Linked DNA regions of Ovis aries. The protein of the gene in region 2 purifies or fractionates together with the protein of the main gene of each other region. This does not show direct contact. Links are inferred from orthologs where the notes say so. Each region holds a gene or a part of one and is shown on either strand. Other genes may lie near its edges.

Region 1 (3,855 bases), on a different chromosome or scaffold from region 2:
AGAAATCAGCTCAGTGGCGCACAGTGGAGGGTGCATTGAAGGAACGCAGAAAGGCAGTAGATGAGGCTGCTGATGCCCTTCTCAAAGCCAAGTAATTACTCATGGACTTTGACAAGTAATTAGGGCCTCCTGGTGGCTTTCTTTTGGCTCTGTTTTCTTTGTACTGTCTACATAGAAAGAGGAGGCAGAGAAACCCTTCCCTTCTCCACCTATACTGTATTTTGGTTTTAGGAACATGAAAATTTAAAAGGAAGAGAGAGAATAGAATATATAATCTGGCCAAAATAAATGTGGCAGAAACTTACTTAACAATTTTGTATTTTATTTGCAGTATTACTTAGGTGATATGTCTATGGTTTACAGAGATTCTGCCATTATTTCAAGGTTTTTCTGGGATGGGTTGAGCAGTTTTATAAGAATTTAAGGAGTGTGTCACACTCTCTTTGCCTTAACTACCAAAGTAGTTAGCATATAATAGGTCTAGTTTTATGCTACCTTGACCTTGATTCCTGAAAGTTGGCTAAAACTAGAATCAAGCAAGCAAACCAAATATGTTCAATCTCTGTCAATAGGAACCTGTATTTGAAAATGGGTTCTCATCAACATTATGGAACTGTTATTTGTCATTCAGAATTTTGTTGTCTTAACATAATATTTATAATTGATAGAGAAAGGGAAGCTTTCTGATAAAGCTAACATGTCTTTTAGGAGATTGACCGCATGATGTTCATCACATCAGTAGGTTATGATTCAGAGCTCTGAGTTCTGTGTTTGTGGTTTGTAGATTATAGTCTACCCAGCCTGAATCGAGAGGGCTCCAGAAGACCCAGCTCTATGCTCAGTGAGCTCTTTGATTTTCTCCCTTGCCTTTGTCTTCCTCAAGCTCTCATTGGCAAGGGAATCAATCTAATCCTTGCAAAAGCTACCATTTATTGAGTGCTCTCGATAGCACAGTAGCAGGTACTGTGCAAAACACTGCTCATGAATTACTTCTAATCCCTATGCCAGGGTGAGCAACAAAGGAGAGGCTGATCTGGGAGCTAAATCCAGGTCTACCGGGTTCTGAAGCCTATGTCTTTTCCTGTACACCATGCTACTCATCTGGTCCACTCTTTAAATCTAACTTGAGGTGCTAAAAAACTGAGGTGTTTTCAGTTGTTGGTGAGGAAAACTTCTCTGCCTATTGAGTGTGAAAAAGCATTGAGTAGTTGTTTCAAATTAAATGTTTCATAGACTTAATTGTAACTTGTTACAATTGTGGCTATAACTTGTATTGATTTCAGTTTTTTTAATAAAGTTGCCAAGGATTAATACTAAACCTTTGTTTTATTGGTTTCCAGAGAAGAGTTAGAGAAGATGAAGAGTGTAATTGAAAATGCAAAGAAAGAAGAGGTTGCTGGGGCCAAATCTCATATAACCGCTGCAGAGGGGAAGCTTCACAACATGATCGTTGATCTGGATAATGTGGTCCAAAAGGTGTGTTTTTCAGGTCTTTTATAAGTATTTTTTATTTTTTAATGTCGTTGTTTTGTCAAGGGGTTTTTAAGAATTCAGGAAAATATTAAGATTCCTTTCATCTTTCTCCCTTCCCCTGGAAAAGAATATTAGTTGTTACTAATTTTAGAAACTTGCTTTGGACATGAAGTGGATTGTTCAGTATTGTTGATACATTTTATAATAGGTAAGTGTTTGCTCATGGTCTTTACTACTTACGGAAATTTCCATTTTGTAGCATCTCTTTTGTCTGCACTTCTGATCTGTGTGGTCAGTTTTTCCGTGACCCAGAGAAAGAGGGCCAATGGCATAAGGAGATGGGAAAGGGTTTATCCATGGCATTTGAACAGAATTAGATGGAAACAAAGACAATATTTACATTCCTTTCTCTGACCTTTAGATTTCTTCCTATGTATTACTTATATATTCACAACCAAATGTAAATGAATACATGAATATGACATATTTTTTGGAGTGTTTATGGTATTTTTTGTTCACTTTAACCACATACCCCTTGTATTTGTTCAGGTTCAGGCAGCTCAATCTGAGGCTAAGGTCGTGTCTCAGTATCATGAGCTCGTGGTCCAAGCCCGGGACGACTTTAAACGAGAGCTGGACAGTATTACTCCAGAAGTCTTGCCCGGGTGGAAGGGGATGAGTAAGTGCAACTGAAGTGTTGGTATTTTACTTTTTCAGTTTTTTTTTTTTAAACAACTGATCATCTGATCTAAACTTGCCAGCTCCATTCTCTGGTCTAAACCCGTCTGGCATGCATATTTCATCTCTTGTGCAGTATAGTGTTTTCAGCATTTTATTTCAGTCATACCTGTGACAGGTGACACACCCGGTTTAGCAATGGTGAACGCAAATTCCAGCCAGTGTGGAATCTTAGTGAGTGAAGAGATATTTTAACCTTGACTTTATTTGCCTATTATATGTAAAATTATTGAACAGGTTTGGCACTTTAAAAATATTCATAATGAATTACTTAAGCATACCTTGTGGCTGCTCTGTGACAACCCTGATTGAGAACTCACCCCGGGACATTAGGTGAAAAGGGAAGGTCAGGCTGTGTGGCCTTCAGCTTGCAAATAGCTCAGATTGCAGGGAATTTGGTGGCAATTACACATTGTAACTGCAGGGAGTAGTCACATCTGCATGAAGCGCTGTGTGACTGAAATCACAGAGATCTGGAGTCTCAAGATCAAAATAGTACTTCCTAAATGCCACTGTCTTTTAGAAACTGAACGTCAGGTAGCATTTGAAGAACTAGTGATACAGGCCTCTCTCGGGTGAGGGTGTTGAAACTGCATCATAGAACCAAGGCTGGTCTAAGTAGCTCAGGGATTTTAAGTAGTGCAGGGATTTTAACAGCATTAGGGCCAACCAGAATGATTTAATGGCAAGAAGTAGAATCAAGGCTATCAAAAAATAACTCAGACATGAAGTTAGTTTTCTTTTTCTTGTGGTTGACTCACTTAAGAGGGAGATAGATAGCGGTTTCTCATCAAAGCAGAAAATAAAATCAGGATTTGTATGAAAGGATTAAGTGGAGAAATCCACAGAGTTTAGTCTGGCAATAGGTTGAGACAGAGCTATTTGCCTTGTCCATCTTTGCCTGTTCTTCCTGCAGCATTGGGTCAGCTCCCTGTTTCTTTGGTTGAGAACCAGATTAAGTGGTTGGTTTAATGGACTGTGACTTCCTGAAATAGCCTGCGAGCTGATGTGAAGTGGGGGAATAAACAAGAACTGTAGTTCCTGTGTGAAAATTTAGTTGATTGCTTCATGAAAAGAGATGAGTCCCCAGAAACCAAAACTACTTTCAGTGTCATTCACTCTCTGATTCTCTGAAATGTTAGAATTTACCTTGATTTATATTGTTTTATGATCCTTTAAAACTTTTTTAGGAAATACACTCATCATTTTGCTTTTCAGCACTAAAATGTGCTTTTTCTACCACTGGCTTCTGGTTCCTTCTTGTTGTATTTTGGATATTTCTATACAGTGATTAATAACTGATGCATGTACTTTCTTTTTCTCAAACCATTGTTCTTTTCCTTTGTAGGTATTTCTGACCTAGGTGAGTAGTTACATGCATTTTATGTTTAAAGACTTGTATTTTAAGTCTTAAAAAGGCTCAAGTCTTTATTTTGCCTGTGATTCTCATACTAAACTATCAAAATTAATATAAAGTAGAATTATGTTGCATGCCATAAATCTAATTTGGATATTTTTGTCATCCATATGTTCTCAGTAACAAAAATGTTTTTACCGTGTGATCGGAAACCTATAGATGTGATATATGTGAAGATATATATTTTAAGTTTTTATTTGGTAAAATTTCAAACATTAAAAAGTAAG
Region 2 (3,855 bases):
CCTGTCTGAGATGTTGCCTGGCTTTTCAAGTGCTCATTTGACATCCTTTCTTTTTTTTTTTTTTTTTTTCAGTGCAGTCTCTATCCGTATCTTTTGTCTGTTTCATTATTGGGTTGTTGGAGTTCTCCTTTTAGTGTTGAGCATTCTTCATTATTTCTGGAGCTGCTTTCGCTCCTGAAGGGTCTTGTCGCTGGGTACATGGTTCAGGGCTGATGGAGTTTTCTCGCAGTGCTCTCTCAGTGTTCTGCTCTCTTCTGGCTCCTCTGTTCCTGACAAGTCATTGGTCTTTTGAACCTTTATACTCTGATGTCTCTTTTGTTTATTTTCCCCCGGTTACTCAACTTTTTTTACTCTTGTTTCTCAGCACCTGAGTGTAGCTACACGTGATTTTGTTCTATGTCTGCTGCTTGGGGTTTGCTAAACTTCTTGCTTCTATAAATTGATGTATTTATTTATGTAGAATTATTTGCAACTTTTAGGCCATTAATTCGTTAAATGTTAAATATTTAATATACTTCTTCCCAGCTGCAGTGTTGCCCCAGACTCTGGGCTCTGATTCTTCGGTCCAGTAGGAGTGCATATTTCTTTGCAGTTTTAATCATCCTCTCCTCTCTGGGGCCGTAATTACTTCTGTGCTAAACCTCTGGTTTCTGAAGCTCTGCCCATTTGTCTTCAATCCTTTTTCTCTTTGTTCTTCACATTGGATCATTTCTACTAAATTCTCTTACTCTTCTCTCATCTCCAATCTGATGTTAAACCATCAGTGAATATGTTATGTCTTTGAGCAGAGTTTAAATAGTTGCTTTAAAATCCTTATCTGCTGGCTCCAGCATCTGAGATCGCTCTTCATTATCTTTTTCTCATTGTATCTGGGTATGTAGCATAGTTGGTATTGTATTAAGTGTTAATTTTTGTTTCCTTTTAGAAAGCTTCCTTTTAAAATTTGGGTGAAGTCTGGCTGCAAACTTGGGCTTACCCATGTAGCAACAGTCAAAACACAGCACCAGGCATCCTCTGGGGATCTCCGGCACACTGAGAACTTGGGGCTTCCCTTTGGGGGGCCCCCCCTCTTCCCAGACGCAATAGTTGCCCCAGACTCTGAACTCTAATTCTTCAGTAGGACTACAGATTTCTTTGCAGTTGTAATCATCCATTGTGGTATAGACTGAGAATTGCCTTCAGGCTAAAGGCTGTTTTTTTTAAAAAGTCCAGCAGCTCACCAGTGCCAGTTGGTGCTTCTGCCCTCGGTTGCTGTCTGGTCCCCGAGGGTGTGGGTCACATTGGTCAAGAGTTCACAGTTGATGTCTGTGGGGTGACCTGGCCAGTGGGAGCCACTCAGCCGTCACTGAGAGCTGACAGGATGTCTGGAGGAGTGGCCACCCCTGCCTCCCCGGGCCATGTTTGCTCTGCTTGGGTGAGAGTCTGCTGCTTGCAGTCAGCGGGTATCGAGCCCTTTCTTCTGCCAGACCTAGAGGCCCACTCGGGGGATGACCGTGAGGCGTGCAGACTGGGTTCCGCCTCCCCAGGTCCTGTGTGTCAAGAGGTTCTTTCCTGGGGCTGGGACACCAGCCCCGCACCCCGCAGCCTTCCCTGGGAACCTGACTCACGTGGGCACTCGGCTTTGCTCTATTCCCAGGTTAAATAGGGCCAGTCAGACCTACTTCTTCCCCGTCCACCTGACAGACCAGCTGCTGCCCAGTGCCGTGTTCTATGCCACCGTGGGGCCGCTCGTGGTGTACTTCGCCCTGCACCGCCTGGTCATCAGACCCTACCTCAGGGCTCAGAAGGAGAAGTGAGTTCTCAGCACTGGCGGGTACAGGGCCGAACCACCCTGTGCCCAGCTCCCCATCTGTGACGTGGAGAGGGTAGCAGCCACCCCACAGGGCTGTGAGGGAAACCACCTAAGCTATAGGTAGACAGTGCTCACTGCGGAGTCAGTCACATCAGGTCCTCAGTGAGCATTATAGTTGATATCAGTAGTAGTAGTACTACTGTTGGCGACACTTGGGTTAGCTCCCGTCTACCCACATTTCCTACTTTCAGAGAGAATTAGAGTTAGTTTACCAAACTGTTGGGACTGTAAGCCATGACCACAGAAATGAGAAGTCTTCCTTTTTCTCATTCTAACCATTTCTTTGCCTGGCATTGAATTCAAAGAGATCAGGCTCTGAGTTCCTACAAACAAGGCCCATGTTAACTACAGTCTTGGAAGTCATCTAGATGTAATTTATTTTGCAGTTTCTTAGAGATGATCCATTAGCACAGCATTAAACCTAAGAGGAGGTTTAACTTCATTACTTTACAATGATCTCATTTAATAGATCACTGAACTTAGTTGGGGAGAGAGGAGCCCAAGGAAGGCTCTTGGGGCGCCTCCAGCCTCTGATTCATTTAAATTCGGTGTCCTAATTCCCCAGCAGACTGAAGGCTTGGAGCAGAGGATGTGCTGGGCCAGGGCTGCCAGGACACGTGTGTGTTGCCCAGGTCCCCATGCTTTGCTGGGAGGAAAATACATGTATTTTATCACAAGGAAGTGTGCCTTGTCCCTGCCAAGGGTGTCCTGTGGTAATGCCTAGTTGGGGGCATCTCCTGAGATTCTCACCCTCTCCCCCTTTCCTGAGATTACTGCTGCGAGGAATCCTCCTCCCACTGAGGTCGGGGAGAGCCATCTGGGGACCACAGGACAGCGGCGCAGGCCTGGGGCAAACAGATTTGCTTGAACTTGCCTTGGAAATAGTATTTAAAGTTCTAGAACTGGGAACACAGTAAGATTTACAGGCTGTTTGCAGGGTGCAGGTCCAGCCTGGAGCACCGTGGCCTCCTGTGCTGGTAACCCCACGTTCCTCACACGTGGCTTGTGTTTTCCTCGCCTCAGGGAACTGGAGAAGCAACGGGAAAGCACAGCCACCGACATCCTGCAGAAGAAACAAGAGGCAGAAGCTGCCGTAAGTGCTGTGTCACCGGCTCCCTTCCAGGCCTCTGCCCTGTGAGGGTCTGAGCGTGGACCTGCCCATCGTGCAGAGCACAGGCCGTACCCATGTCCCATCCTTTCTCGTCCACATTTCTTAAACCGGGGCTGTGGGGGACATGCTTCACACCCTGCAGAGTGGTCTCGGGGGACTTGGGTCTTGGGCTTTTCTTCCCCAACAGCCTCCCTGGTCATCTAGTCTTTACGTTATTGCCTGTGGGATGCAGCGCTGGGAGCGTCTGTCTGTGCCCTGAAGAGTTGACCATTACCTTGCAAAGACATAACCAGGTTTTTTAAAAAGTGGTGGGTGTTGTCCTCTTTCTTCCTGTGATTGAATTGTTTTTCCAAGACTGCAATAGCAGCGATGTCCCGAGAAATGGACAAGCAGGACCGACAGGCACCAGGCACGTGGCCCTGACTCTGATGGAGCCTAGGGAGCCCTTGATAGTAGCGTCCTTGTCCCCTGCAGGTTCGGTTGATGCAGGAATCTGTCCGAAGAATAATCGAGGCCGAAGAGTCCAGAATGGGTGAGCAGGCCTGGCCTCTTTAAAGGACGGGGTGGGTGCTGGGTTCCCGCAGGAAACATGGCTCCTGCAGCCAGGCTGCACGGGGGTTGTCTGCCAAGGCTGCCCTGCCCTGACCAGGCCTGTCCTCAGGGCTCATCATCGTCAACGCCTGGTACGGGAAATTTGTCAATGACAAGAGCAAGAAGAGTGAGAAGGTGAAGGTGATCGACGTGACCGTGCCCCTGCAGTGTCTGGTGAAGGACTCCAAGCTCATCCTCACCGAGGCCTCTAAGGTGGGTGCTCGGGGTAGATGGGAGGGGCATCTGGGGAAGAGGGACCCTCCAAGGGGCCATGTCACTGCAGCGGAACCCATCATGCTGC

What was found. The genes of interacting proteins can lie anywhere in the genome.
Region 1: the proteins of DNAJC11 (region 2) and IMMT purify together in Homo sapiens (co-immunoprecipitation; 3 studies listed by BioGRID and IntAct, with this or other methods). This does not show direct contact. The link is inferred for Ovis aries from reciprocal best matches to the Homo sapiens genes DNAJC11 and IMMT.

What each region holds. Positions count from the first base shown.
Region 1 is NC_056056.1:58,063,704-58,067,558, reverse strand, and holds part of IMMT (MICOS complex subunit MIC60), read left to right. Parts: coding exon 1-91; intron 92-1,340; coding exon 1,341-1,476; intron 1,477-2,022; coding exon 2,023-2,152; intron 2,153-3,559; coding exon 3,560-3,574; intron 3,575-3,855. UniProt on the Homo sapiens protein: Component of the MICOS complex, a large protein complex of the mitochondrial inner membrane that plays crucial roles in the maintenance of crista junctions, inner membrane architecture, and formation of contact sites to the outer membrane.
Region 2 is NC_056065.1:46,123,402-46,127,256, forward strand, and holds part of DNAJC11 (dnaJ homolog subfamily C member 11), read left to right. Parts: intron 1-1,636; coding exon 1,637-1,792; intron 1,793-2,205; exon of another isoform or gene 2,206-2,405; coding exon of another isoform or gene 2,406-2,875; coding exon 2,876-2,945; intron 2,946-3,437; coding exon 3,438-3,495; intron 3,496-3,624; coding exon 3,625-3,767; intron 3,768-3,855. Other genes in the region: THAP3 (THAP domain-containing protein 3), read right to left, coding at 2,406-2,915.